Struthio camelus: one gene and its partner. The protein of the gene in region 1 interacts with the protein of each later gene in a pairwise test. Links are inferred from orthologs where the notes say so. Each region holds a gene or a part of one and is shown on either strand. Other genes may lie near its edges.

Region 1 (14,606 bases):
CTTCCTCCAGACGGGTCTTGCATGCAGTAGATTCCTTCTGCCTCCATGGAGCCTTATGTTCATGTCTGGTCATGAGCACCCACCCAGGAAAAGAGCAGGAAAGTTGCCAATGCTTTGGGAAAAAAAAAAAAATCTTGCTAAGCCTCCCTGCTTGGAGATATTTACTCTGGGCAATGCGTTGTCATGGAAATTAATCCCTGTCCCACCTGGCAGGTATGGTAAACATTACAAGCAAGGAATGGGGAGAGGCCAGAACAGCTGAGCACAAGGAACAAAGCAGCCTGGGTCTACTAGTGCCTCCTGCACCCAAACGCTGTGGAACAGGCCTGAGCAGGATGTGGCAGGGTTGTGGCTGGGTGCGGGCTCTCTTCCAGCCCTTGCTAACTGCTCAGCTGGACCTTCATCCCCCACGGCAATCTCAGCTGTAGGACGCTCCATTCCACCCGAGTTCAACCTGGAGGAGGCTGGTTCAGCCCCTGGGCTCCTGTAGAGCCACTTCAAAGTTTCTCCAGCTTGCACCAGGTTATAACAAGCTCCAATGAGTGATTCGCCCCCAGCTGGGGAGTGCCAGAGCATGCAGAAAGCCTGAGAGGCTCAAGTTAACTGTCTAAGGCTCCCAGGTTAACCCCATGGAGCTGGACGGGCCCAACATCCTTACAAATGCTGATATTTTGGAGCGCCCTCATGTGTTTGGGCGCAGCAGTGACTGCAGCCATTTACCAGCACAGCCCCCAGAGCCAGGAACGTGCCAGACTCGCGCAAACTCTTCTGCAGAGTCTCACCTCTGCTTGGCGGGACAGGAGCATGCAACCAAGTGCATGGATCAACCATGTCTTTCTCCTGACCCTCTCACTCCAAACGCACTGCTCACTGCTTGAGTGGGCAGCAACGTCTATCCTCCCACGCAGGCCACTGGAAACACAATAATGAGGTTGTGGAGTATCTTTGGGGGTACTCAAAACCCAGCTGGACATGGTCATGGAGAACTGGTTCTAGCTAAGCCGGCTTGAGCAGGGCGGTTGGACTAGATGGTCTCCAGAAGTCCTGTCCAACCTCAACCGTTCTGTGATTATCTCTACACGTTATGGCATATTACGCTACGCCAGCTCCAAAGAGCTCCACTAATGGTACGACAGAGGCAGGAAGAGCTACTCTGAGGTAGGTCCCTCTGCAGAAGTGTGAATCTTACTCTTCCTGATCCATATACTCTCTTTTGCATGGCAGAGGGGCAAAGTTCGAGCAATCTCAATTGTCATCTTTTGCCTGTCCTGTACCACGATGCCGGTCAGATATGATACAACTAGGTAGGGCAGCAAAACGCAGTTTGAGGCTGATCTGACAGTCCCAAAAAAGGCTGAAACATCCCCGGAGTCAGTGAATGCACAATTTTACAGCCGAAGAGACTTTGCCTCTCGCACCATCGCAGCGGCCAGGGAGCCGGGCTGTGGGTGACGCTTGGATTTCGTGTTTCCACCCCGAGTCTCGGAGGGACGCCGGCGAGGGTGCAGATGCAGAAAGCCTTGCTGCTCAGCGCTCCGGCCCGCGCGCCACCACCTCTTCAGGTGGAGGGAAAAACCCGCTGGCGCAGAGCGGGCTTTGCTGCAGGAAAGGCAGAAGGGCAGCGGGAGCGGGGCTGCAAGAGGCGGAAACGCCGGCGGCCTCCGAGCGCGGCGGGGAGAAAGCGCTCGGGCAGGAGCTGCTGCTGCAGGGAAGGGAAGGGAAGGGCTGCAACATCGCTCCGGGGGGTCACGGTCAACTATGAAGGATAATCACAGAACCACAGAACGGTTGAGGTTGGAAGGGACCTCTGGAGATCATCTAGTCCAACCTCCCTGCTCAAGCAGGGTCCTCTAGAGCACATTGCCCAGGATCGCGTCCAGGCGGGTTTTGAATATCTCCAGCCAAGGAGACTCCACTATCTCTCTGGGCAACCTGTTCCAACGCTCTGTCACCCTTACACTAAAGAAGTTACGTCTTTTATCCTTCTTTCAGGAGGAAGAAACATCCCTCAACCATACTTTAGCTGCTCTCTAACCTAGCATTAAGAACTTCTGCTGATGGAGATTCCATAGCTTCTTTAGGATTATATTTCAAGACTTAAATATTCTTACAGTTTTTCTTTCTTTCTTCTGTCCTCCCCTTTCTCTTTCTCTCTTGTTCTTGTTCTCTCATTCTTTCTCCATCTATCTAGTTTTCCCTCCTTCCTTTCCCTTTCTGTCTCTTTTCCTTCACTTTTTCCTTCCTCTTTTCTTCCTTTCTCTCTCATTCTTGTTCTTTCCTTCATTCTCAGTCCTTGTTCTCTCGCATTCTTTTCCTTCCTTCCTGTTTTTACTTTTCTCCCTTTCTCACTTTTTCCTCTCCTCTCTCCTTTTTTTCCTTTCTACTCTCCCTCTTTGTCTTTTCTCTCCCTTTTCTCTTTTTCCTTTTTCTCTCTCTTTTTCCTTTTCCTCGCTCTGTCTTTCTTTTTCCTTTTTCTCTCTCCCTCTTTTTTCCATTTCCTCACTCCCTTTTTCCTTTTCCTTTTTCTCTCTCCCTTTTTCCTTTTTGTCTCTCCCCTTTTCTCTCTCTCTCCTTCTCTCTTTTTTCCTTTTCCTTTTTTTCCTCTCCATTTTTCTCTTTGCTTCATTCTTTCCTTCTTTCTCTATTGATCTCCTGCAGCTGTCAAGCCTTTTATTTCCCGTACGCTGGAGCCCAATGTGAAACGCGCCCTTCCCGGGGGGCGGCAGGCGTTCCCCGCACGCTCTCCACTGGCCTTGCGGCGGGCCGAGCCACGCGGTGCGGCTGCGGCCGCCCCCTCCCGCTGCAGGCTGAGGCCTGGCATAACTCATCGCACTCTGCGTCAGACTCGGAAACCCTGCCCCGCCGCCCCCAAAACGCTCCCCAGGGCCTGCCTTCTGTCGAGAAGGATCACAGTTCGGTTTTCCAGGTTTTTAGCCAAACCCGCTGTGCCGGCAAACCTATTTGGGCGGACGCGCGCTGGCACTTTTCGCGGTGGTCCTCGTGTTCCTGTTCCCAAGCGCAAAGCGGGCATTGCTCAGGGCGCGGCGAGGAACGGATGCAGGCGTGGGGTGGCTGCTTTTCCTCCATCCCAGAAATACTCCTTAAGGGCAGGGACCACGCGGCTCTCCCTGCTCTCCGCATCCACCTACCCAGACGCGCGGTGCCGCGGGAGCGCTCCGAGGAACATCGGACCGCTCGGAAGCGGCTGGCTCTCGGGCAGACCAATGACTATCGACCAAACTATATGGGTCCTTCAGCTGCCTCTCCCTTTGAAACGATGCTGCAATCAAAAAAGTGCCAAAAACTCTCTATTTTTCCCCTCCGCTTGGGCTACGCTGTGCCCATTGCAACTGCTGCCACCCTGCGGCGATGTCCCTGCACCCAGCACGGCTGGAAAACGTCAGGTGCAGCGGCGTTTCTCAGCGGGATGCACCCGACAGCGGCGGACACCAAGCTGGACCGCGAAAGGATTAATTATTGTAGTTGCAGTGTCCGGCCGGGACTGCGGGAACTTTCTAACCGCATGCAATTTAAGGAAGAAAAAAACAAGCTTAAATTGGGATATTCAGATTCAGCAGTCAAAACGAATTGGGGCTGAGCGCCGTACGTTACCAGCGTATATCGATGCCCCGCGTCTCACTCATCGTTTTGAGGCGGTTTCCCCGGCGAGAGCGAGTTGTACTAATTAGCCGCACTAAATAACCTAATAGCCGGAGGAAAAAGGAGAATGCAAGTTACGTTTAGTTAAAAAAAAAAAAAAAAGTGTTAAAGACGGTTAAAGCTGTTAGGAGGCCAGAGGTCATTTCCGGTGAGTGGGAGTAAAGCAGCTCAACGATAATAAGGTGCAGCAACGCCGCCGCGCTCGGGGAAACGCAATTAGGAGCCTCGCCCGGCGCTCTGCGAACCGCCCTGGGAATTTCTGCTAAAAAGGATTATTTCCAAGCCGTCCTTCCAGCGGCTCTAATGAAGCTCGGCTGAGCAAGGCCAGGCGACCTCGCAGCCCAGCGGCAGCTTCCCTGTGCAACACGCCTGCGGCCTGCCCGTGCAACGCGCCCGCAGCCCAGCGCCCCCCTGCCCGACCGCTGCGATGCACCAGCCGCCTCCCAGCGCACCGCGCGCGCCCAGCACCGCCCGCCGCCGCCGCCCTCCTTATGGCGCCCCCTAGCGGGCGGCGCGGGAGCAGGCGGGGAGGGCGGCGGGGGGGGCGTGGCCAGCCGGCTCCTCCGTTCTCTCCTCGCCCGGAACTCTATGGTTCGTCCTTCTAGGCAGCTCGGAGGATCACAGCATGGCCGCGGTCCTCCTCAGCGGGGCGCTGCCGAGCCGCTGTTCGCCTCCCGGCTTCTCTCTCTTTTTTTTTTTCTTTTTTTCTCTCTTTTTTTTCCCCTCCCCTCTCGTTCCCCCCCCCCCCCTCCACTCCTCCTCCCCTTTCTCCGCCAGCCCAGCCGAGCCGCCCGCCTCCTGGCTGCCCGGCGGGGGACGCGGTGCCCGTGAGGAAGCGGCCTCCGCCGCCGCGCCGGCAGGCACACGGGCTCCTCTCCGCCTCCTCTTCCTCCTCCTCCTCCTCCTGCTGCTGCTGCAGCCGGGGCCGCATCCTGCTGCCGCGGGGGCAGAATTGATGTGGAGACCCAGCGCAGCACCATGCAGCCGCCGCCGAGGAAGGTGAGGCCTCCCCGGGCGGGGGGGGGGGGCCTAGGGGTGGGGTAGGGTATGGGGAGGGGGAGGTGGGGCTGGGGTAGGGTATGGGGAGGGGGAGGTGGGGTAGGGTGTGGGGGGGTAATGGAGGGCTGGGGTAGGGTATGGGGAGGGGGAGGTGGGGTAGGGTGTGGGGGGGTAATGGAGGGCTGGGGTAGGGTATGGGGAGGGGGAGGTGGGGTAGGGTGTGGGGGGGTAATGGAGGGCTGGGGTAGGGTATGGGGAGGGGGAGGTGGGGTAGGGTGTGGGGGGGTAATGGAGGGCTGGGGTAGGGTATGGGGAGGGGGAGGTAGTGGACTGGGGTAGGGTGTGGGGAAGGGGAGGTGGGGGGGCCTGGGGGTGGGGTATAGGGGGGCTGGGGTAGGGTGTGGGGGGTAATGGAGGGCTGGGGTAGGGTGTGGGGAGGGGGAGGTGGGGCTGGGGTAGGGTGTGGGGGGGTAATGGGGGACTGGGGTAGGGTATGGGGAGGGGGAGGTGGGGGGGCCTGGGGGTGGGGTATAGGGGGGCTGGGGCAGGGTGTGGGGGGGTAATGGAGGGCTGGGGTAGGGTATGGGGAGGGGGAGGTGGGGGGGCCTGGGGGTGGGGTATAGGGGGGCTGGGGCAGGGTGTGTGGGGGGGAATGGGGGACTGGGGTAGGGTATGGGGAGGGGGAGGTGGGGCTGGGGTAGGGTGTGGGGGGGTAATGGGGGACTGGGGCAGGGTGTGGGGAAGGGGAGGTGGGGGGGAGCTGGGGCAGGGTTTGGGGGGATAATAGAGGGCTGGGGCAGGGTGTGGGAGGTGGGGGGGGCTGGGGTAGGGTGTGGGGAGGGGGAGGTAATGGGCTAGGTTAGGCTGTGGGGGGGGTAATGGGGGCTGGGGCACGGTATGGGGCAGGGGGACCTGGGGGTGCAGTGTGGGGGGGCTGGGGCAGGGTGTGGGGAGGGGGAGGTAATGGGCTGGGGTAGGGTGGGGGGGTGGTGGAGGGGCTGGGGCAGGGTATGGGGGGGTAATGGGGGGCTGGGGTAGGGTGTGGGGAGGGGGGACCTGAGTGGGGCCTGGGGGTGGGGTATAGGGAGCTGGGGCAGTGCATGGGGAGGGAGGACCCGGGGGGGCCTGGGGTGGGCTATGGGGGGGCTGGGGCAGGGTGTGGGGAAGGGGAGGTATTGGGGGGGCTGGGGCAGGGTATGGGGGGGTAATGGGGGGCTGGGGCAGGGCATGGGGAGGGGGGACCCAGGGGGAGCCTGGGGGTGGGGTATGGGGGGGGGTTGGGGCAGGGCATGGGAGATAATGGGGGGGGGGGGGAGGCTGTATTTGGGAGAAGCCTGGGCAGGGTGTGGGGAGGGGGGATGCTGGAGGGGGCTGTATTTGGGGAAGCCTGGGCAGGGTGTTGGGAGTCGGGGCGGGGGGGGGGGAAGAAGAGGGAGACAGTGGCTCCATGGAGATGGGTCTGCGTTTGGATGAGGTGGAGGGTTGGGATGTGGGGCTGTGTTTGGAGAGGGTAGGATTCGGGCAACTCCTGGCCAAGGGGCAGCGAGGTCTGGGGGCAGGATGGGGCGTAAGGAGGGGGGTTGTGGGGGGCAGCAGTGGCTGGATGGGGCAGGCAGAGGTGTGGATGTGCTGGGTAAACCGGGGTGGTGGAGCCTGGAGGCAGGAGAGAAGATGAGGAGCAAGCGTTAGAGGGAACAAGTGATTAATTGGGGCTGGGGCAGCCTTAGGGACAATGGGAAAAGGGGCTTTGGGGGGGGGGGATTTCGAAGTGGGTGGGCACGGTGTTGGCAGGAGAGGGGCTGTGCAGGTGGGGGAGGCAGTGGCTGGATGGAGAAGCCTGGAGATGGAATAGGGCATGGGCTGGAGGGGAAGGTGAAGGTGGAGGAGATGGAGGGCAGGGGGCTGGTTAGGTGGAGTACGGTGGGGGTGGCAGTGGCCGCACTAAAGGAGAGCCGTGGGGTGGTAGGGTTAGAAGGGGGGTCAATGATCGCAAAGGGCTAGGCTGTACTTAGGGTTTTAGGACAGCCTGTGTTGGTTGTGGGGTGGTACTGGCTGCGTTTAGAGGACTTTGTTGTGTCTGGGTGGGTTAAAAGCAACTGCTGCTGGTTGTGCTGGAGTGGAAGGTCGCGTCTGGAGTTGCTGTAAGGATGCAGGTTGTCCCTGGGTGGATCAGGAGCGTGAGCAAAGAGGGACAGCCACGGCTGTGTAACACAGGTGTGACGGGAACAATCTGCACATGCTGGTTGCAAACGCTGCGTGAGGTGGGGAGGCTTTTTGGTGTCCTTGCGGCCCACAGGAATACGGGGTGCTTCGCCTTACGGCCGCTGGTGCGGGAGGATGTGAGGTAGATTTGGAAAAAGGTTGTTGCCGGTGCGGCTTGTCTGTGCAGGCAGGTTGTTCATGGAAGACTTGAGCTATGGTGGGGTCTCGAGCGTGAGCACTGATGTACGGAGATGTATTGATTAGTTATTTTGAGAGCTGTATGCAAGGGCTGGAATATGGGGAGAACGGGGGAGCTCGAGGTGGTAAAGCGAGCCTCGGAAAAGGTTTAGAGGTTGCTCACTAATAAGGATCGCGGGGCGGGGGGGGGAGTTTGCTGGTTTTGAGATCATTAGCGCGTTACGTTCGTCGGGGTGTTGTCCGCTGCTTGGAGGCGTGCGCCGAAATGCTTTGCGCTCAGACCGTCGTGGTTCAGTGTGGATGTTTAAGGCTTCGTGCGTGGTGTTGAGATTTATAGAGGAAGACTTGAGGAAGACCGCGCAAGGGAGCGTAAACAGAAATCCCCCTTGTCGTTCCCTGAGCTCCCCAGTAACCCCGGGCAGCCAGCTGCAGCCAAGAGCCCTCCGTGTCTCATTGCTGCCTCTCACCCCCTTGTTTTGCGGGTGGACTCTGCTTTTGTTAAAGGGTTCTTCTTGCTATTTTAGTTTGCGTTTGGCAGCTTATTTATGTTACGTGGGTGTCATTCTTTACCCACATTATTTCATTTGCGGTCATTTCCATTGCATGGGTTATCTTGCGTGGGTTTATTTATTTAAAATAGATTTTTTTTTTTTCATGTGCAGATGAAAGTAAAAACGTTGAAAGTTAATGTTAAAAATAGATTTTTTTTTTTCCTGCTTAATCAGAGTCAGGCCTGGACGTGTGACTTTCAGTATCTCGTAGGCACTAATGTGAAAAATGTCTTTAGTGCTGTGATTAAAGGGTCCTGGTTGTTGGTGGTGGTGGTGTCTTTTTTTTTTTTCTTTTTTTGACTCAGCCTTAAATTTGAGAAGGCTTTTCCTAGCCAATGTGACCTGGAAGATTTTTTTTGCCTGGCTGGTAAGAGGAGGGAGATTTGTGTCTACCTCTTCTCTGCGTTTTTCTTTTTTCTTCCCCCGTTACAGCAACTGTTAGGCATTTCGGTCCTCATGAACGCATAACATCTTTTGATATGCTGGTGATCCTTTTTTTTTTTTTTTTTTTTTTTTTTTTTAGGCTGATACTTGGACTCCTTGTGCTCACTAGAGGGCTTAAATGCCCAGACTGCTTGTTTTTAAAAAAAGAAAAAAAATAAAAGGAGGGGAGAGGATACAGGTTCCCTTGCCTAAGTCAAATCCTGGTCTTTTGCCCTTTTACAAATTAGCGGGTGGGTTCTCAAATTATTGAAATCCTCGGGATTGTGAGGGCCAAAGGAAAATTACGTAATACTCAAAAGCTAAAGCCAGCCTTATGAGGTACCTTATGTAGAAGGGCTCTGATGCACGATTAAGAAATAGCTTTGTTTAAACTGTCTTTAATTATAGTAGTTGTAGGATGACTTAATCAAGACACATTCCACAATTGTGTAAGCTATGCTGAAGTGCTAAGTGTACACACCATCAGTTTTCTCCCTGTTACCCGTTTTCCTTTTTCAAGCTTGTTCCCTCCCCCAATTATTTTCATAGCTCTTTGGAAAAACAAAATAAAACAAAACATTTTTGTTAATGTTAGGGCATAAGTTTGAGATTTGTGACGTATGAAATGAAGGCCTGCTGGGCTTACAGCATTTGTTGAAATCATAGGGTTAAGTTGCATTATTAATTCTGTGTTCTAATTTTCCACTGAAATATGCAAATTCAAAATTGATGAGAGAAATAAATTTTGTTTTCTTTTTGAAATTTGACCTAACCCCTACAGAAAATATATATGGTCTGTGTTTTTTTTTTTTTTTGTAGGTGAAAGTTACACAAGAGCTAAAAAACATTCAGGTTGAGCAGATGACAAAACTTCAGGCCAAGCATCAGGCAGAATGTGAGCTACTTGAAGATATCAGGTAAGGTTACAGAAAATGCAACCAAAAATTCCTTTAAGATCTAGCTTTGGAAGAACTTTTGAGTTACAAAACGTCAGGAACTGACGATGGAATTTCCTCTTTGGATTTCCTGCTTTTAGGCTGTTAAAGTTTTGACACAGCTGGAAATTATAACTGGAGCTAACACAATGCAAACCATTTTTTCTTCTCTTCAATGGGGGAAATGTTTAAAAAAAAAAAGTCGCAAACAACATGCAAAAAGTATTAGTCTTTTCAGCAGTATTTCTCTATATAATAATTTATTTGATTTACCAGTTTAAAGAGGCTGCTAAAATTATTGAAAATATTTTAAAACCACTGATGAACTATGTCTTGTTAGAGATGGCTTTGAATAGCACTTTTAAATGCATTTCATTTTTTCCCAGAAACTTAAAAGAAGGTTCTTACGTTTATAACCTAAACTCTTTTCAGGCTAAGATCAATGGGGAGAATCTAGATAACGTAAACTGTGTTTTTTTATTATTCATTTTAACTAATGCCATTGCTTCCCTTTAACATAAAAGTTTACTTTTAACAAAATACTCACGGAGATAGGGAGTACCTGGAATTATATGGAGGCTTAATCATTCCATTTGGAGAGGGTCGGTTTCTAGAATGGCTATTCTGTAAAGCGTTCATCAGTGAATCCACTGCTGTCCTTCCTTTTGTCACCATTTATTCCACCTGTTAATTAGTTAAATGAGATTTCTTGCTTTGTGTTTGTATATAAAATGCAAATATGGCCGCTTTGACAAATGACATGCTGTGTGTCTCGCTCTCGGTGTCCTAAATCAGTGTGTCGAGACTTCAGTGTTTTCTCACCCTGTTTTCTTCTGTGGGCATTGAAACACTTTTCTGTATGGGAATGATCACAGCATTTATTTCCTTAGATTAAAATTAGTGGCTGTGCAGTGTTTGACTAGTAAATGCTGAGTGATAAGTAACAGATTGATCTGAGGAGTTTTTTCCCCTAGGTAGATGTTCCAAAATCAGGTTTCTAGGCCAGGTACTGCTGCTCTAGTCCAGGTTTTAATAGCATTTCCTCTTTTTCAGGGGCTCATAATGACTTAAGTCTGGATTTCTGCTGAAAGATGTCATAAGCATTATTAGCCTGTGGTTAAAAAAACAAGAAAATGTGAAAATGCTGGCTTAAAATACTTTTCTGTAATGTAATTTAATCTCTAACATTAATTTAATTTCTAAATGTTAATGCTATGGATTAAGAAACTGGGTTAATGTACTTAATTCACTAACATGGTCACTAAATGTACGTGGTCTCTGATCAGCATTCTTGTTACAAGCCTTCTGTGTTTGCAGAATCACTATGTGGATTTACAGATTAAATATTCTTCAAACATGGAATGACGTGATAGAATATGACAGCTCCATCGTGGCAATGATTTGTTCAAACACCGGATTACAGAGTAGGAGACAACAAGAGAATTTTTGCTTAAGAATGCTTGCTGAAAAAAATTTTCTTGGCTTGTAAAGCAGAGGTCTTTGTGTTTAGCTGTCAAGGAGGACCTTGGCTTTGAGGGCTGTATAGTCTTGATACTGCATCAGTCGCTTTATGACACTCGTGTGAGAAGTTTGGCGTCCACCCCGTCCCAGTCCTCGTGTGTTTGTCGCTACATTGAGGCTATGCAGCACCCCGTGATTGCAGAGCGCTCCAGAAAGCAGCATTCGTTGGAACCATGCACGGGATCTCTTTTGTCTCTTGCATGAATAATTATTTTTAAAGAAAGCATTCTGCCACTATCCAGAAGTATTAAATTTTAACTGAATGCTCTTTGTTTACCAAGACGTCAGAGAGTTCTGTTCCTTTTGTAGTACTGTTTGAACTTTCCAGTAGTGCAAGAGTACAGCTTGGTACTGTTTTATGCTGCTCTAAATTCTAGATATGTAACTACTGCAGCACTAACAAGAAACTCTGAATGCATGGCTTACAAGTTAGTGAATAAGAATTCATATTTTAAAAGGTTAAATTACTACAAATAGTTACTGCATTTGTTAGCATATAAATGCAGGTATTTAAGCCATGTATGCAATATTTAAAAAAAACAAACAAGTCTAGCATCTAATGTCCTTAATTGCATTCTTTATATCCTTTCAGCCCAGTTTTGAATAAAGTTTTAAATATCCGTAATGAAGAAGTTATACAAGGAAAAGATCGGAAAGTTTTCTCATGAATTCTGTTAAAATGCATTCATTGTATAGTGTATTAGCAGATGATTTTGGCAACGTACCAGAACATAAACATACTTTCCATTTCAACAGCTTTGATGTTTTAATGCAAAACTGAACACTCTCTTAAATGTTCGTAGTTGAAAACTTCAAACTATGTCATTTGGAGACGATGCAGACTGAACTACTGTTTATTCGAGAAGGGTCTCTTCTTGGTTGGGGTTGAGGCATACAGGTGAAACTGCCTATTCTTCACCCCATCTGTAGCTACTTAATCTCCTTGAGGGCTGTACACAAACCCACCATGTTTAATTAAATTTGAAATATGTCGTCTGTGTACTCTAGGCTTTGTTGGTGTGAGCCAGAAATTCTTCAAAGTTCCTCTACGGCTAGAAGTTTTGGGATGCTTGTTCACTCTAGCCGTTCCTGGCTTCTTTCGGGCAGCAAATTCAGTTTTTCCAATGGCCAAGTGCGTTATGAATGGTTGAATTTATCAGAGGTGTTGGCAGGTTTTCATGTATTTTATTTTGGTTTTAAACGTTACCGTATTTGATTGGTGGCCGTAAATAAGTCACACATTGTAGTCTGGATTTATCCTTCAGTTGCCAGGGTGTAGATGTATTTTCCTTTTGTGCGTGTGCATGCGCCTGCAAAATTGGGAAGAACTCTGTGAGATCCACACTTGAATTTGATTTAACGTTTCCGTAATGTGTTTATGCGCTGTAGACTTTATAAACTTGTTATGCGGTTGTTGCTTTACCTTGTGTGTTATCTCAAAGCATGGCTCTCAAAAGAATTGTGTATATATTACAGGTTTTGGATAGTGTTTTCTAAAATGTCTGTTCTTATTTCCTTGCTTTTATGTTTTGCCAGAGAGAGCGAGGTTATGGTTACGTGGCTGTTTTAATCTGTTCTGAAAGTCTGAACTGCTGCTGAAGGGCCGGTCCCGCTCGCTAACTATTTCTACTGCCTGCCTATACGAATGGGCGCAAGGACCCATGTGGCTGGGTGAGCCGTTTGGATTAGGAACACCTGAAAACAAACCATCCCCTGACTCCTCCCCGCCAAAAAAGATAATTTTTAGATAAATCAGTTCCCTGATCCAGCTTGCTGCGTGATTGCACAGATGCTGCTGCTAGCGTGAGGGGCAGAAGGAACGAGTAGCTGGGGTGGAGGTGGAAAGCACGACCGCGGGGTTGCCGCCCAGACTGGGCGCGGGGTTGGAGTCGCTGGGTAACCCCAGCCTAGTGCTCCTGCAGAAGGCACAGCTGCAGCCTTGTGAACTGCATGGTTAGAAAGGCCACCTTATTTAAGTCTTAACTAATTTTCTGCTGTCTGGGTGTGTTGATCCTGTGACGCTGTTTGGCGTCAGTTGAGTGTGCAGCGTGTTGAAAGGAGATGTAAAACTTGCATGATTTCTGGCTGAGATGGAATAGCAACGTGGTCCTTTCATTTGCTGGGTCCTGAATTTAGTTTTTCATTACTTTCAGCTGAACTCAGCGTGTAAAAGGAATTGTCAAAACCATAGGCTCGTAATTTCCATGTGTTTCACAGATGTGCATGCAAATATATGTAGAGTGAAACGAACAGGAGGAGCTATTTCGTCTGTCCTTTTCGTTTCTCCCTCCTTACTTTCTCTTCTTATTTAAAACATCTTCCTCTCCTCATTGTTCAGTCTAGCTTATCTCACTGTAATGTATCCTTTAAATTCATTCACCTTTTTCTCATAAAACCACGTTCTCATTGCACTCTGTATCTTCTTTGTCGTTCACCTTTCTCCTTCTGCTGTCTTGCCTTTGTATGGTACGTTTTGTGTTTCCGTTCTCTCCTCCAAAGGTCTGTTCTCTGAAGATTGTTCTGTACTTAAAATTTTTCTTTTTTTTTTTTTTTTTTGAAACTCTTGTTTTCCCCTCCCTGATCCTTCACATCTCTTCCTTATTCCTTTATCCAGTTCTGAGCTCCTGAATTGTAATCAGTTTTTGGGTATCACCTCTGTTTCCAGGAAGCTTTGATGCTTAACATTTAGTGTATAGCTTAGGTGTGCTAAGTTTGTTAAGCCTTTGTATTTATTTACTGAGTGGGGAGTTCTTCTTATGAGTCTTCCTTATCCATCTGAGCCTTTTTCTGATATAGGATACTGTAGCTGTTGCCCTGTTGTTGGGCTGTCACTCGCTTTTGCTCCATGGAGACGTAGCAGAGAAGATATGAACGAGGAAAGAGGATTACTGGATTTTGGTTATGCGTCCGGTACAGGGACAGAGTACTTTTTGGATGTCTCTAGCTTGGTGTCTTGTTCCTGTAGCAGCAGGTTTATGTATGACTGAACAGTGCAGATCCTAAGGAAAAAGAAAAAAGTATGCTGAATATGTATCTGTAGCTATCTAGTTGCTGCTAGTTTTAACATGCCATTTTATGTATTGAATTATGCTGTAGTTAATAAGGTTGCGTGTAACCTTTTGCTGTGAATATCCTTTGTACTCTCCAGTGGAATTTGCCTGTGCTTCTGTAATCTCACTGATGTTGGTAGGTCTGTGATAAGGTTTATGGCAACGTTGGCTGGGCGTCAAACTACTAAAGTAGAAACTAGCTGCAGCTCCAGTTTTAAATACAGCAAATTTAATATAGCAGCTACGACGCAGATCATTTAACAACCTGTTAAGGAAAAGTCTTGTTATAGTATGGATAGTGCTGCAGAAGCATAAGTGACTGCAGGGGAAAAAGCTGTAAAAGAATATATTTTGTATAGCTATATATACATACATATGTGTATATATATATATAATCCCATAAGAGATTCTGCAAAGTTATGAGAGCATGTTACTTTTCCTGACCTGGGGCAAAATAGTAGTGCAAAGTTTTCCTCTCTTCCTGTTCTTTCCGGTCTCCAGCTGCAGGGAATGCGATTCCTGCTTGGATATTCTTGAACCCTGTATTAGGCTCTACTTATGTTAGCCTCTGGCTAGTGGGTATCTCTTAAGGTCTTTTTTAATTCCTCTTCAGAACTTCCTCTTTGCAGTAGCTGGGAACTTTCCATAAGGAGATCATCTTTTTTTTTTTTTTTTTCCTTTATACTGATCCTTAGGAATTTGTCCTTCACTGTCACCTTTTCCTTTTCTCTTCAAGGTTGTTCACTGCAGTCGACGGACTCGATGTTTGTAGCTTTACTGACGTAGGAGCAGAGCGTTCCTGTGTGCCTACAGGTTCTGAGCTTTGCAACCTTGCAAAGCGAAAACCAGCGAACGTATTAGACAAACTCACAGAAACTGTACGAAGTGAGTTGTATTAGTTTGGGTCTATTATATTAACTATTATATCTAGAGGCTTAATTTTTCTTTAGGAGCAAAACCTGCAGTTTTCCTGGGCACTGATGGTATTTCTTCCCTCATGGGATGGTCTTTCTCACCGCTCGTGAATATTGCGAGTTCGTTATTTCCGAACTCTCTTTTAATTAGTT
Region 2 (15,464 bases), on another chromosome or scaffold:
CAACATAATCCGTAGCGCTCTTAGGAGGCTTAGAGCCTGAACACTGCTAGATATGTGTTAGGTTAGCGTCAGCGTAGAACTGTTGCCCCAAACCGCATGCTGGCAAGAAGCAGCCCTTGGGGACTGGCTGCCTCATGTTAGATAAGGGTGGCAAATTGGCCTGGCAGCTGCCTTCCTCCCTAACATATGGATTGATGTGATGGTCTGTCAGCCATGACTTGGAAGTCATCAGTGGAGCCCACACCCTCCCACACCTAAAGCATGGCCTGATAGAGTAGCTAACAAAAATGAAAAAAATCTTTCTTGCTGTCTTGAGGACCAATTTGTAGTTAGGCACAGAATTCACTGCACTGAGCACTGCTTTGGTGACCAAATCACGGGACGTGTGACAACACCCACCTCTTAAGTGGCAGAAGCAGTTGTGTACAGTAAATGGCAAGTGCTTCCTCTTAATTTAGAGCAAGCTTTCTTAGTCTTTGTGTTTATCTAGAGGTCTAAGATGTCATCTCCTTCCCTTCAGACTAAGGAAGAGCAGTCCCAGATCACCAGCCAGGTGACTGGACAGATTGGATGGAGACGTGAAGGGATCAAATATCGTCGCAATGAACTCTTTCTTGATGTGCTGGAGAGCGTGAATCTCCTGATGTCCCCCCAGGGTAAGTGGGAAGTGCTAAGCTGGCATCCTTTTGCCCTTCAGGGCTCTTGAGTGGGGACTTGCATGTGTATTCTGAACTGCATTCTTCTCTACACCAGGTCAGGTTTTGAGTGCCCATGTCTCTGGCAGAGTGGTGATGAAGAGTTATCTGAGTGGAATGCCAGAGTGCAAGTTTGGCATGAATGACAAGATTGTCATTGAAAAACAGGGCAAAGGGACTGCGGATGAAACGGGGAAAAGGTAAGACGTGTTGGGGTAAAAGTCACTTGCTACCAGGGACCTTTATGAAAGGGAGCACTTAGTAGCTGCTCTGATCTGACAGATGAAGCTTGTCTTTCCTTCTCTTCAGGTATTGCCGCTAGTTTTTCGTCTGGGTAGGTCAGTTATCCTGCAAGGTAACAACCTCAGGGCCTTGATATAAAGGGCTTCCCCATAGCAGGGCTAATGACACTTCACCTGTGCACATCTTAGGTGTCAGACTTCACACCTATGCATGGGAAAGTATCAGGAGCAGTGGGATCCTCTGGGCTGTCATCTTTCTTGAAGTATTAAGATTCAAATATAGTGCCGAGTGTGGAGTTCTTGCAGCTGGAAACCTTCCTCCAAAGATGATTCTCCCAGAGCTTGTGTCTCTAGCAGCTCTAGTTGGTGCAGAGGCTCTTGCAGGATACAGGAACAGTGCCCCCAAGGAACAGTGAAGGAACCCCTCTGGCCATAACATGTTCCAGACTGTTCCAGCTGACAGGGCTAATGTTTGGGTAAGCCCCTTCTGCTGATGTAGGATCGTTAGCAGCAATGTGGGCTGGAGGCTCACCCTTTTGGGAGTCAGCTACCTTCATTCCCAGCTGTGCCTCAATCAGCACCTATCCTATGCTGAAGAGGGACTTTATGCTTTTTTCCAGTGTTACTGCTTAAGGGGAAGAGATCAAAGCAAAGGGACTGCCATTTTTTCTCCCACTAACCATTTATGACTCAACTGTTTCTTTTGTGTGCTTTTTTTGCTGACCCCCCAGTGAATTGGGAAGGTAGATAATCTGCTTCAGCTACATGTGCACTCTGCTTCCTTCCTTGTCTACTGCTTTGACTTGTGCATGTAACCCAGATCTCAGACACTTTCCATGATGATTCCTGTAAACTGAGCTGAGCTGCTGTTTGCCTTTTCTCTTAGAACCAAGCCAAGAGCTGTCACTTCACTGTCACCTTTAATCTCTCCAGTACCTGGATCTAGTCAGTAAAATGGACTGAGCCTCAGGTGCTGGCCTGTAGTGAAATACCCTAGTGAAAACGTCATCTGTGTAGGCTTCTGAACAGTCAATAACAATGTTTGTCCTAAAACTTTTATGCTGTATGAGCATCTTCACCTGTAAATACACCATTTTCTTGAGTTAGAGAAGCAGGATGGAGCTAAAGCTCTTGCTGGGTGGCTCTCCCAAACTGTGGTTCTCCAGTAGGCAAGAGCTCAGAGATGTCACTGTCCAGAAGCATTTAGTAATAAAGTGGCCAAAAGGGACAGCTGTTGCTAGTTGTTTTTTGGCGTCTAGCATGTGGCAGTACCAAACCTCTGAGTAATGCTGCTTGAGACTTGAACCGGTGCTAGGCAGCAGAGCTTTCCCAGCAGCGTTCCAAAGAAACCAAAGAACAAGTCTGCTAATGTTGGCTGTCATCTGGGCAATAGATTGGAAAAGACTAACCTTCACTTATGGAGCATAAGCTACACCAGTGGGCTGTGTAAAGTAAGCAACCATTCAGCCTGGACTCGGTCTGCTTCCCACATATGCAGGTAATGGTGGGGTCTCAGTATGACTAAACAGGCCTGTGTTGCTTATACTATCTCTATGCGCTTACATAGCTGTCCTGTTGCTCACAGCAGTTGAGGCAGCCTAGATATCATAATCCTACATTGCCGCACCTTCTCTATGCTGGTGCCTCTGTCTCATTTTCTAGCTCCTCTCAGTACCCGAGAGGCATTCTTGGCTAACTCTGGGACCTGTAGCAAGGAAAACATTGTCAAACTGGAACCCGATACAGGTTGAGTACTGGCAGGTTAGTCCAGTGCACCTAGCTGCACAGACATTAGCTGTCTAGGTTTTAGAAATAAAAAACATGAAAACGTTTGTGGCAGGCGTTTTTGTCCTCAGTAAATTGGTTGCTATGCTGGCCTGAGGAAGAAGGTTTCTGTCCTGGGTCAAACCATGAGCTAGCAGCATGGAAATTCTCAGCTGTGAGGAGGTTTCTGAGCAGGTAGACCCCAAATGTGGCATCTCCTAGCTGTGTGGCAGTGGGATAGCTTTGTGGACAGGGAATGCTTTTCCCCCCCTTGGACTGCACTGCAAGAAGACTTGGGCTAGCAGAGTTGCCCTTGCAGTGCTGAGAAGCTGCTGACAGGCAGACCTAAGCGTTGCATTCCTGGCTGTGACTGAAGGGTGCTGCTCTAACCTCTCCTCTTGGGGAGAGGAGGGAAAGAGCTCTTTTAAACAAGCTTGAAGTCTGATCTTGGCGAGTGTGAAACAAAGGAAGCCTAAGCCAGCAGAGCCTGTCCCTTAAATCTCTCCCTGCCTCCCCGTTTCCTGGACACCTGCGATGGCAACATGCTCTGTAGAATAGTTTCTGCCTGAGCAGACTCTGCCTGCACCAACATACTGGGGCTGCAACTTGCGCTTGTTTAACTCTGTCTTGTGTTTTAGTGGCAAACAGTCAATTGCCATTGACGACTGCACTTTCCACCAGTGTGTGAGACTCAGCAAGTTTGACTCTGAGAGGAGCATCAGTTTCATTCCACCAGATGGAGAGTTTGAACTCATGAGGTATGGTGATAGGGAATGAACAATCTGATGTTGGCATCTGCTTGCTGCTACAGTTGTGCTGCTGGTCTCCAGGCAGACTTGCTGCCCTTGAGGAAGCAGCAAACGTGCTGCCTTCCTTTCTTTTCATAGTGCAGTCTATAGGGTGTCTTACAAGTCCTTCTTTACAGATGCAATAGAAGCCCAGCTCCATGTTGTTGGTTTTTTTTTTTTTTTGTCACAATCTTGGCATTGGATATGGGTTTCCCTGCCCTTTAGCCTACTGTATCTGGTAGTGCCTAAAACTGGTGTCTTTGAACAGGGTCACTTTGCAGGAACAAGATACAGAACTTGGGACTCGAAGTCATCAGTGGCCTAGGGCAGCACGGATCTAACTGCTGCTTACTTTTGGGATGGCTCCCTTTCTGGCTGATGCTTTTAAGCTGTTCCCTGTGTGTGGAGGCTGTCCCTTTAGGAAGGTAGTACAATTTGAGGCCCTAAGAGTTAGCTCCTTCTTGGAGTTCATTGTTGCCTCTCTCCTTGCAGATACCGAACCACTAAGGACATCATCCTTCCCTTCCGCGTGATCCCTCTGGTGCGGGAGGTGGGTCGGACCAAGCTGGAAGTGAAGGTGGTGATCAAGTCAAATTTCAAGCCTTCCTTGCTTGCCCAGAAGATAGAGGTAAGAGAATAAAACTTGAGGTTTCTTGTGCCTGGGAACTGTGTCTCTAGTTATGTCTCACAGATAGTCCTCAAGTTTGTACAGGACTAAGAGTGAACTGAAAGTCCTACAGATGTGTATTGCTGCTGTGCTGGAGGGGAGGCCCTGTGTAGTAGGGAGGTGGAAGCTGTTCTTAGTTGCATTGGCAACTAAGAACATCGTTCCTTGGCAGAAGACTCATTCCCTGCAGTACCTGCTTGGAAGAGTGCAAAGCAGCTGTTCACTTAACATCTTTGCCACTATGAAAAGCTCATGTTCTTCTGTCTGCATGATCTAACAGAACATCAGACAGGTAGTGGGCTATGAGATGTTTAAGACAGCCAAGGGTAAGGGTAGATGTGCAGCCTAGCCCTCTTCTGGGGAAGGGCTGTTGCTGCAAAGTCAGACTGCCCAGAGCCCAATCTGAGCAGACCTCCCTGAGCAGCCTGGCATCCTGCCTGAGCTCATCTGTCTGACGCTAGTAGAATTTCCTGCTGCACATCTGTAGCCTGAGCTGAAGTGCTCTGCCCTGTTCCTCATAGACTGTTGTGGATTTTACGAACTTGTTTGAGCCTTTACTCCAACACAAGAAATCAGAGAGCCAGCCTATGATGCTTCAGGGTAGCTGATATACTCTGGGCCTTGAGATGGAGGGAGAAGGCCAAGGGATCCAGGACAGCAACTGCACTGTCCTGGGAAGTGTCAGTCTTCCTGTGAGCCTGCGTGGAGTGGTCGGGCTGTGGTCTCCTTGCCCCTGCTCACCAGACTCTTCCTTCCAGGTCCGGATCCCAACCCCCCTCAATACCAGTGGAGTGCAAGTCATCTGTATGAAAGGGAAGGCAAAGTACAAGGCCAGTGAGAATGCCATTGTCTGGAAGTAAGTGAGCATGGTTGGGCAGGAGCAGAGCTTGGGGAGGCAGAAGCTGTTCTGTGCCTCTGCAGTGAGCATGCCTAGCGAATAGACTCGGTTATTTCTTCACCTCTGGGCCTTCCCTGATAGGATTAAACGTATGGCTGGAATGAAGGAATCCCAGATCAGTGCAGAGATCGAGCTGCTGCCCACCAATGATAAGAAGAAGTGGGCTCGGCCCCCAATCTCCATGAACTTTGAGGTGAGTCAGTCCACCTTCCAGGGCACAGCTAACCTGGAGATGCTTTGTCATTTCCTTCTGCCCTCATGGGAACTGCTCAGGTCTGAGACCTCCCTGTCCCTGACTGCTCTGTGACTCTTCCTAGCATGAGGCCACCCCTACAGGTAGCAAAGCTAAAGGAAGAAAAATGCCCTGAAGGCCAATGGAGTCTGTCACCACGCATGCAGGGTATAAAGAAGGAAACAGTAACTCTGTGTCTGTTTCCAGATGCTTGGCTGGGGGTCCTCAGGCTGTTTTGTGTGCATACCATCTTTTCTCTGTGTTCCAATGCTCTCCGTTGCCTTTCCCTTTAATCAATAGGTCCCGTTCGCGCCCTCTGGGCTGAAGGTGCGTTACCTGAAAGTCTTTGAGCCAAAGCTGAACTACAGTGACCATGATGTGATAAAATGGGTCAGGTACATTGGCAGGAGTGGGATCTATGAGACCAGATGCTAGCCCGAGCAAGCTGGCAGGCTCCCTCTTCAAGCCATCCTCCACGTCTCCTCCGTCTTCAAGTACATTCAGAGAACATCTGCCTGGCCCCTCTACAGATGGAAAGACCCTGTGGCTCACCTTGGGAATGGACTCGCCTGCCTGTGCTCAGTTACCACCCATGCTGCAGCTGAAGTTCAGAACCCAGTCATGTGCAGGGATGCTGTCAGCCTCCTGCTTTCTGTCCCAGGGTGGGGAAGGGCTAGTCTAACTCCCATCCTCTCATGATCTTTCTAGGGAACGTCCACCATTAAACTCCTCTTCTGTTGGTGTCTCACTACTTGCATCATATCCTAGTATTTTTGACGTTCTTGTGCATATGTACCCGTAGATTAGACCTAAACATAGACTGGACAAATCTGAGTTGAAGTTACCCTGGCTTCTGTACTAGCTATTGCTGTTGTGGTAGATGTTGCTGGCCAGTCTGAGATACCTGGGGTGGTGAGTTTGTCAGGCCTCCACCGGAGGAGATGGTGGGCTCACTGGACCTCACCACTTTATATTTCTTGCAAAGTCTTCAGTATAGAGTCCTGCCATGGGAAGGTTTGTGACCAAAAAGGATGAGGGTTTAGACTCTTGCTGGTGTGTATGTGGGTGGCACAGCATTTCAGGTCCTTAGAGCACTTACCCCCACCTGCTACTGGCTTGGGCCAGTCTGTCTTTTCCAACCAGATTGTAAACTTGGCCCCTCTGTCCCAGGGAGTGTGGGGCAACTGAGCTCTGTCAGGATGTGAACAGGGTCTGTCCTCTAGAGTCTAAAATGCCAATGGCAGTAAGAGCCCCCTGCCCCAGCCTGCCCTCTCCACACTTCTACCAAATGCTTCTGGGCCATAGGAATGCTGCTGCTACCCACAATCCTGCTTCTGGTAGTGTGGTCTCCATTTTGTACACTTTGTGATTTGTCCAGCTCTGAATCTAATAAAGTATGTAGAATGGAGAAGGCTGCCACTGCTGCTATTTGGGAGTTGTGATGCAAAACCCTGGGCTGTGCTCTGGGTCCCTGCCCGAGGTTGTCCTGGGGCTTGCATTTGCTGCTTCCCCAGCACTGGACTGCCTCTGGGTTAGTAGGTGCAAAGAGCAGGGATGCTCTTGCTTCCAGCCATGTTAGTGCTGAGTTCCAGCTGCTGCTCCCTGGTGCAATGAGGGTGCTGTGAGCTGCAGGACCCCTCGGTGCTGGTGAGCTGCAGGAGCCAACAGTGCTTGGCCCCTCTATGCTGGGGAGTGCTGGGCTCTGAACTAGAGCAGGGAAGAGGGCAGACCTGACTCGCTGAGGCCTGCAACCGTGTGGAACTGCACTGCCCTCTTTGTTATGCTTGTCCAGCTACTTGCAGGCTTGGCTTCTCTACCGAAGCCTGACCTAAGCAAACTGCTCTGGCTTTTCCTTTAGACAGCTGGAGGGGAAAAAAAAAAAAAAAAACAAAGGGGAGGGGAGGGTGCTGTACCTGGCAGTTGAGGTGACCTATCCCTGGGGCTTGGATGCCCGTTCACTCCAGCCTCCTGCAGGGCTGCTGTGGGCTGCCCCCTGCCTTAGCCCATCTTATCCTACACGTGATCAAACCCTGGCGGGAGAGCAGGGGATGTGAGGGTGCCGGAACCTGGCTTGGTGAGAGTTTTGAAAGATGCAAAGGTGCAGCCCTGGACTGGAGAAGGAGGTGTGGAGGTGCCTTTGGGGGTGCAAACCCTCAGCTGTCCTGGGCCACGCTTCTACTACTGTCTGCTCACAGGGCTGCTATGCACATAGGTGCAGCTGCTGTAGCGGGGTGGGGTGTGTGCTGGGGGTGGCTCTCCCTTGCTTGTGAGAAGCCGCTGCCCTCCCCTACCTCCAGCCTGGCTCCCGGCGCCCCCGTGGCCCAGCGCAGCCTGAGCGCGGGAGCTCGGCGCTGCACAGCGCGGGGGGCGCCCCCGCCCCGCCCGTGCACACCACCGCCCCCGCGCGGACTACATTTCCCAGCGGCCCCCGCGCGCATGGCGGCCGCCCGCCTGCTTCCCGGCACTCCCCGCGCGCGCTGCCGTCCCTTCCGCCTCGGCCGCTCTGCCGGGCTCCGTGTGGCGGCGGCGGCGGCGGGCCCGGGCGGCGGCGAGCCCGGCTCCGCGACCGCGTCCGCCATGGCGTCGTGCGCCGACATCCTCCGCAGCGAGTTCCCCGACCTGGACGGCGAGGTCTTCGCTTACGTGACGGGTGAGCGGCGCCCGCCGCCCCGGGGCTCGGCCCCTCGCCTCCGCGCGTCGCGACACGCGACCGCTATCGCGACACGCGGCGCCGGGCCGCGCCCGCGTCGCGACAGGACGGGAGAGCCGACGGGGGAGGGGGGGAGAGGGGAAGGGCTGCGGGCGCCGCCTGTCGGCGGAGTCGCGACAGCGCGGGCGGAGTCGCGACAGCGCGCGCGCGAGCGGGCGGGGTCTGCAGGCGCCGTGTCGCCCGCAGGGATCCTGCACGGCGGCAGCGCCGACTTCGAGTCGGTGGACGACCTGGTGGAGGCGGTGGGGGAGCTGCTGCGGGAGGTGTCGCAGGACGCCAAGGACGACGGCGCCATCCGCGAGATCTGCCAGCGCCTCTTCAACACCCTCCAGCTGTAAGGGTCGCCCCAGCCCCGCCGCCCCGGCCCCGGCCCCGGCCCCGCCGCCGGGCCCTCACCTCCCCCCCTCTCTCGCAGGGACGAGCAGAGGGCCCAGCGCTGCAGCCAGGTGCTGCTGGATGCCCCCATCCAGCTCTCCCAGATCGCCGACAGCTACGGTGAGAGGACCCCGCCGAGGGGCCGCGGCCCCCCCGGCTCGGTGGGGAGGTGTGGACGCACGGCGAGGACGGGCTTGGGGCGCGGAGCGCACCTTTACCTGGCTCCTCACCCTGGGGGGAGTCGTCTCCAGCCCCTGGCTGCTTGCGAGGGGGGTCTGATTTGGAAGGGCAAGAGGCGTCCTTTGGGTGCCCTTGTCATGCAGGAGAGGGAGAAGTCGCGTGTGCTTGTGGGCAGGTGCAGGAGCGCTGACTGGAGCCTCTCTGGGCCACCTTTTCACTGTACGACTTGTTGCAGATGCCAGCGTGGACCTGTTGCCAGGGCTGTTACTGAAGAGGGACCAGACCTCGGTAAGTGGAGGGCCAGGTTCTCCTTGTTCCCGCATGGTCTGCGAGGGTACAGACAAGTAACACTGGAGCTGCAACTGCCCGGCTCTGCTCCAGTCACCTCTCCCTCTGTGAGCAGCCAGGAAGGGAGCTGCTGTGGTTAGGCGCACAGCTGCATGGAGGTAACTGCCCTTTTGCTTCAGTTTCGCTGTATTTCGTGAAACTGTTTGCTCTGTCTGGTAAAGAGGATCAACAGGAGTTAGCAGCACACCAGTTTTTCAGGATCTATTTTGCTGTAACTTTTTAACAAGCTTTCAAGTGTGGTTGATGCAGTGGTAGTGCTCAGAGGAGAGCTTCTCTGACTCGATAAGAGCCTTTGGCCCATACTGCCGGCCTTTGATTGAGAAATTAGAATGTACCAGGACGACTTTGCATCATACTCGATTAGAGATAAAATCTTGGCTAAAGATTAGATGTCAGGATGTTACAGGTGGGGAGTTAGCATGGAGCAGCTGTTTCCCACAGAGCTGCTGCAGGGAGATTGTAAGTCCTGCTTTAGAAACGGCTGTGGTTGTCATGATTTGAGGAGCAGAAAAGTTTGGAAGTAGCTAATCCCTGTGACTTGTAAGAAATCAGAATGCGTTTGCTAATGAAACGCGTACCTGCTCAGGAGAGACCTGGGTTGCCTTCTGCATTGAGTGTGCATGTGTTTTTGAGAGGTGTGGTTGTGCATCTGCAAAGCGAAGATGGAAATAGCTTTACAGGCTGGGCACTTTCTCCACCAGGCTGGTCTCTTATGGAGTTCTCCCTTCTTGGGGTAATGGGTTGAGCACAAGAACTCCTAGCGTGGAGACTGAGACCTAATGTGATCCCTGCATGTCTAAATGGGAGCATTAGGTGAGAGCTGGATGCTGTTGCTTGTTTTGGCACTGGAGTAGCTGTTGCTGGGTTTGCTGTCTGGTTCTTGTGTCCACAACTCAAAAGAGATATTCAGAAAAATTGGAAAAGATTCAGAGAAGGCCTGGGGGGCCTCTCAAGTTTTGGAAGATAGGTCTTACTGAGAGATTTGAGGAGCTCAATTTAGTTTACAGAGTGACTCAATCTATCTGTAGGTGCTGGGCCACGATTCCAGTAACAAGGCGCTCTTCAGTCTAGCATGCAGGTCTGCAGCATGCTCCAGTGGCTGAAGTGTTGCCTAGAAATATCTAGGAGCGTTCTTGGTCAGCCACAAATATTTGACTTGACACAGGAGTAAGTTGGAGTGGGCTGAAAGCCTAGCTAAGTCCAGAGGCCAGGTTAAAACACTTGGCTCCTTCTTGCCTTCACATTTAATTAATTGCTTTTTATCTCTGTCTTGATTGATCTAGTGCCTAACTTGAGTTTGTTCCAAACTGGCTAGCGTTTAACATGCTGGGGAAAGAAAATGCTTAACGTCTAGGGTGAAGGTAGGTGTAGGGTATTCTGGAGCAAGCATTGGGAGGCCAGGTTGTTGTAGCAGAAGTAACTTGGCTGACCCAGGTTCCTGAAACCAGAAAAACTGACTGCGAGGAAGAGTGTACGGTTAGGGTCAGCCAAACCCTTTGCCTTGCTGAGGCAGAACTGTTGTGTATATAAGCAGTTGATTTGGGACTTCATTCCTGAGCCAACCACCTGGCCTGATCAGCTTCCCTAAATTGTACTTGAATCTGTCCTAGTTCCCTGTCCTACTTCCCTCCTGCCTTCCTTCTCTCTAGGCACAAGGGATTGATCTCTTTTCTCTTGGAGTCCTGCTCTTTGGACTTCTGCTGAAGATGCTTTCGATTCTTTCAACTCCATTCTTTGTGCCCTAGATGGTAAATGCCAAGAAACTGGAGAAGGCAGAAGCCAGGCTGAAAGCCAAGCAGGACAAGAGGATGGAGCGGGATTCCCTAAAGTCTTCTGGTCCTCTGTGAGTAGGGAGGGTGGCTGGAAACACTCCCAGCCTGCTCTGCTGAGTATGCCTGGATCCGACCAAGCCAGAGCTTTCCTGTTGAACTCCCTTCTCTGTCTTCTGCCTGCCTTGCAGGGTCCTTGAGGAGGCATCTGCCAGCCAAGCTGCCAGCAAGAAGGAGACCCGCATGGAGTCATCAGGCAAGAACAAGTCATATGATGTGCGCATCGAGAATTTCGATGTGTCCTTTGGCGAGCGGTGAGTGCAGATAGCCCTGGTTGGGGTTTCAGGCTGGGGTAATGAGGCTGGTTCGAAAAGCGGTCGGGAATGACAGAGGGTATGGAAAGGAGCAAGGTGAACACCTAATCCTGTTGGCTTTGGGCAGGAAAAGCCTGTGAAGGTTGCTTGGCCCCAGCACAGCCTGAAATCTGCTTGGGGCAGGCAGCTGCCAGTTGCCTCCGTTTCCACAGGACAATCTGAGCAGGAGCTACCTGCCTGTTTTCTCGCCTTAGTGTCCTACTCGCGGGGGCAGACCTGAACCTGGCATTCGGACGGCGCTATGGGCTGGTGGGCAGGAACGGTCTGGGCAAGACCACACTGCTGAAGATGATTGCCAGCCGGAGCCTGCGCATCCCCTCGCATATCAGCATCCTGCATGTGGAGCAGGAGGTGGCGGGGGACGAGACGCTGGCCCTGCACAGTGTGCTGGAGTGCGACACTACTCGTGAGAACCTGCTACGGGAGGAGAGGGAACTGACAGCCAGGGTTAATGCTGGCAGGTGAGATGTTGCATCTGGGTTTTCAGCCCTTCTACGATGTCTTGAGCGTGAGGTTTTGTTCTGAGATCTCTCCCTTCCAGTGGAAGGCTCCATCAGGGCTCGGATGCATTTCACCCACTTTAGTCCTGCTTGGGGAGATCAGCTTCCCCCAGCACTCAAACCTTGACCTCAGTCAGTCCCATGTGCTTCTCTTTGCTCGGCTCCAGGGGAGAAGGGACAGAAGGTGCCAGGCTATCAGAGATCTACGCGAAGTTGGAGGAGATTGAGGCAGACAAGGCACCAGCAAGGTGAGACAGTCCTGCGAGCACTGCCATCTATCTGTGTGCATCACCAGAGTGGGGCAGTGGTTTGGCGTAGGCAGCATGGAAGGGTGATGCTGTGCCCCTGGGATCCAGCATGTGAGGATGAAGGGCTCTCTCTAATGCTGTTCTTGTCTCTTCTTCCATTACTGCCATGCTGGACTGGGAGTAGTCAAGCTTCCTCCAGAGGCAGGAGGGATTTTTTGCTGCCAATGGCTTACATTATTGCTGCTGCTTCTCGCAGACCTCCCCAGGCTCCTGGTGTCTGGGGAGGATTTATGGAATGTTGATGTTAGCGATTCTCTTTCTGGCCAAAGAGCCAAAAGCTTTGAAGTTGGTACCTTATTGTGAGTCTCCTGCGACTCCATGTGGATGCTGGGCCCTGCTGGGTTGCGTTTCCCAGGCAAGTGCTGCTGTTGGGCCTGCAAGGGATTTTTCCCGCATGAGAGCAGCCTTAAACCATGTAGCAGAGACCCCCCACAGTGACCAAGGGTTTGGGAACTTGGACTGTGCTCTGCAGCTCCATGGTATAGGTGGGTTCCAGTTCTCTCCCTTTTCCCCAGGGCATCCGTCATTCTTGCAGGGCTGGGCTTCAACGCAAAGATGCAACAACAGACAACCAAGTAAGTCTCCAGGCTCTGGGTGTCAAAATATAATGGGTCTGGAGAGATCCTGTGTCCCAGCCCCGGTGGCCAGCAGGGTTATCTCTCTCCTGGCGAACCCCTAGGTGCTGCCCTGGCTGTGCCTTGATCTGACACAGGGAGAGTGGCTGTAACTGTGAGAGGGGAGCCCTGCAGGATGCTGTAGGTCTATTTGTGCCTTTCTGATGCAGCCTCCTGCCTAGGGGGTGCCAAGCCACCTGTCTGCTGGCCTGGGGAGGAGCTGTGTGTGACAGGACTCATGCTGTGTCCACGATCTCTACAGGGACAAGCTGTCTATGGGTGACAGCGGAGCTAAAAGGGCTGTGGAGGAGTGTGGGAGCAGGGAGCCTGGCAGGCAGGCAAGCTCAGAGTTGTTCTGCATCAAACGCTAACACTCCCTCTGTGCAACCTCTTCTCTCCTCAGAGAGTTTTCCGGAGGCTGGAGAATGAGACTGGCCTTAGCCAGAGCACTTTTTGCTAGGTAGGTGTCCGGAGGTTTGTGCCCGTGCTTTGCTATGGGGTTAGCCCTCCTTGCTGTCAGAGTGCTGCAAGGAGCTGGCTGGGGGGTCCTCTCGTCTGAGCCTCAGGGTGGGGAGCGTTTGAGGCATTGCAGCTCAGTGTGTGTGGTGAAACGTGCTCTGCGTTAACCCTGTGCTCTTTTTGCTTCTGATGCCTGCGTCTTGCTTTTCCTAGGCCAGATCTCCTTTTGCTGGATGGTAAGTCGATACTGTGAATCCCCTGTAACGCCACTGCTAGGTCTGCCTGTGCCCTTGCTGGGGTTGGGAACGGAGCGTGGCCTTTAACAGCCTGCTCAAAATAGCCCTGCGTGACACAGCCAGCACTAGCAGGGCTGTCAGTGCTCCTCTGGCACGGTAGGGGCAGAGCTGGGGATGACGAGGAGCGGTCCTCAGCTGGGAAATCCACTCAAGCAGCCACTTCAACTGAACTCAGCAGAGCTCTGCCTATCTTGAGGAACTGCCCCATGCCTCAGCCAGGGGATCAGCATGTCATCCTGTCCCAGATGGTCCCCTTCTCCCCGCCCCGTCCCTGTGATGGGGCCCTGGCACCCAGCTGATTGCAGTGGGAGAATCTCTTCACCACAGGAAATGAGGCAGGAGACATCACTGGAGCTGGGGCTCAGCTGATATCCTGCAGAGGTGCCCAGCTTCGATGTAGAGCTCTGGGTGAGGCACTGCTGCAGGGTGCCAGGGGCCAGTACTGGCTGCAGGGAGCATCCCTGGCTGAACCCTGGCCCCAGTGCCCACCCCCTCAGCACACCTGCATATACGAGTTCCCCTGACCCACACTCCCTGAGCTGTGGGAGAAGCTCCCCACCTCAGGATGCCAATCACTAGCCTTTCCTGTGTAAAGAAGCATGATCCAGCCATCCTAATCCTGACCTCAGTGCTTCTCTCTTTTCCCGTAGAGCCAACGAACATGCTGGATGTGAGGGCCATTTTGTGGCTCGAGAACTACCTGCAGGTAGGGGGGTGGCAGGAGGCCCTGGGACAGAGCGGGGCTTGGTCAGGGCTGCTGTGAGGTGTCGGAGGCTCTGGCCTGGTGCTGGACTTGCCAGCTGGCAGATGGACACGTCTTCCCAGCCTAGGGCCTTGCCTTGCTGGGTGGTGGGGCCGAGTCCCGTGCTCTGGCTTGATGATGCTGATGTAAAGTGTGGCTCAGGTGTCCCTGTCACTGTCTCCTCCAGACTTGGCAGTCAACCATTCTAGTGGTGTCCCACGACAGGAACTTCCTGAACACAGTGGCCACGGACATCATCCACCTGCACTCACAGCGGCTGGACACGTACCGTGGAGACTTTGAGAACTTCATGAAGATCAAGGAGGAACGACTGAAGAACCAGCAGCGAGAGTACGAAGCTCAGCAGCAGTACCGTGAACATATCCAGGTACTAGGAGAAACCAGTAGCATCTGGGCACTGTTCTCCTAGTCTTGTCCCTTTCTCCATGCTTCTAATGAGCCTCCCAAGTTACCCTGCTTCCAGTAATCTTTGCTCTTGGAGTTTTTGCTGCTGTTCAGTCTTGAGATGACTGTGACCCATGGAAGTGGCTCTGGTGTTGCAGGATGCTTAGCAGCAGAGCAGCATGGCTGGGGCCAAATAGGCCCTGTGACTCTGATGCTCGTCTCTTAGGTGTTCATCGACCGCTTTCGCTACAATGCGAACCGGGCGTCCCAAGTGCAGAGCAAGCTCAAGCTGTTGGAGAAGCTGTGAGTGCCTGTCCCTCTACTCTCTGGAGGTGGGGAGGGGGGGAGCGCTTACAGGGAGAAACAGAGATATTCCAGGGGGACCTGGAAGATAATGTGTATCTGGAGGGTGAGAGCAGTTTGAGCTTTGGGTGCCCTGTCTCTGATCAGAGGCTTTTATTGGGATAAGGCTTTGCAGGGCTGGAGACTGTATTCAGGCTTCTGGTGGGGGGAAAGACCCACTGTGCAGAACATCTCAGTTACATGTCGTCATCTCTTGTAGGCCAGAGCTGAAACCTGTGGATAAGGAGTCTGAGGTGATAATGAAGTAAGTGTCCCCTGAGCCCTTGCTTGGAGGGGACCTGACTCCACTCATGATGTGAGCTGCTCCCGGGTCCTGTCCCAGCTGGGATAACTGCTGCTTCCTGCGGGTCAGCCTTGTTCTGATACGGAGCCTAGAGAGGGCCCCACCTTCAGGCTTGCTTCCCTCTTAGGGTCAAGGCTGCAGATCTGTGTCCCCTTCTTGTGACTGTCCTTCCCAAGGGTCTTGGGTGGGAAGGAACCTCCCTTGGGGGTTTGCAGCAGTTGTGCTGGGGGGGGGGAGGCTGGGAGCAGAGGGTCTCTGATGTTTTTGGCCATCTCTTACCTCTTCTTGCCTTCCCAGGTTCCCTGATGGGTTTGAGAAGTTCTCCCCACCTATCCTGCAGCTAGATGAAGTAGACTTCTGTTACGACCCAAGTCACTACATCTTTCGTTCCCTCTCTGTCTCTGCTGACCTGGAGTCCCGCATCTGTGTGGTATGTGGGATTGCAGAATAAC

Evidence for each region.
Region 2: the proteins of FCHSD2 (region 1) and ABCF3 interact in binary tests that used the Homo sapiens proteins (3 or more experiments, as listed by UniProt). The two-hybrid records come from large-scale screens. The link is inferred for Struthio camelus from reciprocal best matches to the Homo sapiens genes FCHSD2 and ABCF3.

Annotation. Positions count from the first base shown.
Region 1 is NC_090942.1:222,621,194-222,635,799, reverse strand, and holds the start of FCHSD2 (F-BAR and double SH3 domains protein 2), read left to right. Parts: upstream 1-6,667; 5' UTR 6,668-6,806; coding exon 6,807-6,920; intron 6,921-8,852; coding exon 8,853-8,950; intron 8,951-12,025; exon of another isoform or gene 12,026-12,134; coding exon of another isoform or gene 12,135-12,160; intron 12,161-14,606. UniProt on the Homo sapiens protein: Adapter protein that plays a role in endocytosis via clathrin-coated pits. Contributes to the internalization of cell surface receptors, such as integrin ITGB1 and transferrin receptor.
Region 2 is NC_090950.1:22,576,637-22,592,100, forward strand, and holds the start of ABCF3 (ATP-binding cassette sub-family F member 3), read left to right. Parts: upstream 1-7,783; 5' UTR 7,784-7,863; coding exon 7,864-7,936; intron 7,937-8,182; coding exon 8,183-8,330; intron 8,331-8,411; coding exon 8,412-8,491; intron 8,492-8,786; coding exon 8,787-8,839; intron 8,840-10,644; coding exon 10,645-10,742; intron 10,743-10,859; coding exon 10,860-10,982; intron 10,983-11,236; coding exon 11,237-11,503; intron 11,504-11,709; coding exon 11,710-11,790; intron 11,791-12,365; coding exon 12,366-12,425; intron 12,426-12,867; coding exon 12,868-12,924; intron 12,925-13,136; coding exon 13,137-13,159; intron 13,160-13,869; coding exon 13,870-13,925; intron 13,926-14,148; coding exon 14,149-14,349; intron 14,350-14,592; coding exon 14,593-14,669; intron 14,670-14,928; coding exon 14,929-14,973; intron 14,974-15,309; coding exon 15,310-15,442; intron 15,443-15,464. Other genes in the region: AP2M1 (AP-2 complex subunit mu), read left to right, coding at 521-656, 754-895, 3,340-3,459, 3,982-4,117, 4,915-5,012, 5,136-5,247, 5,587-5,721.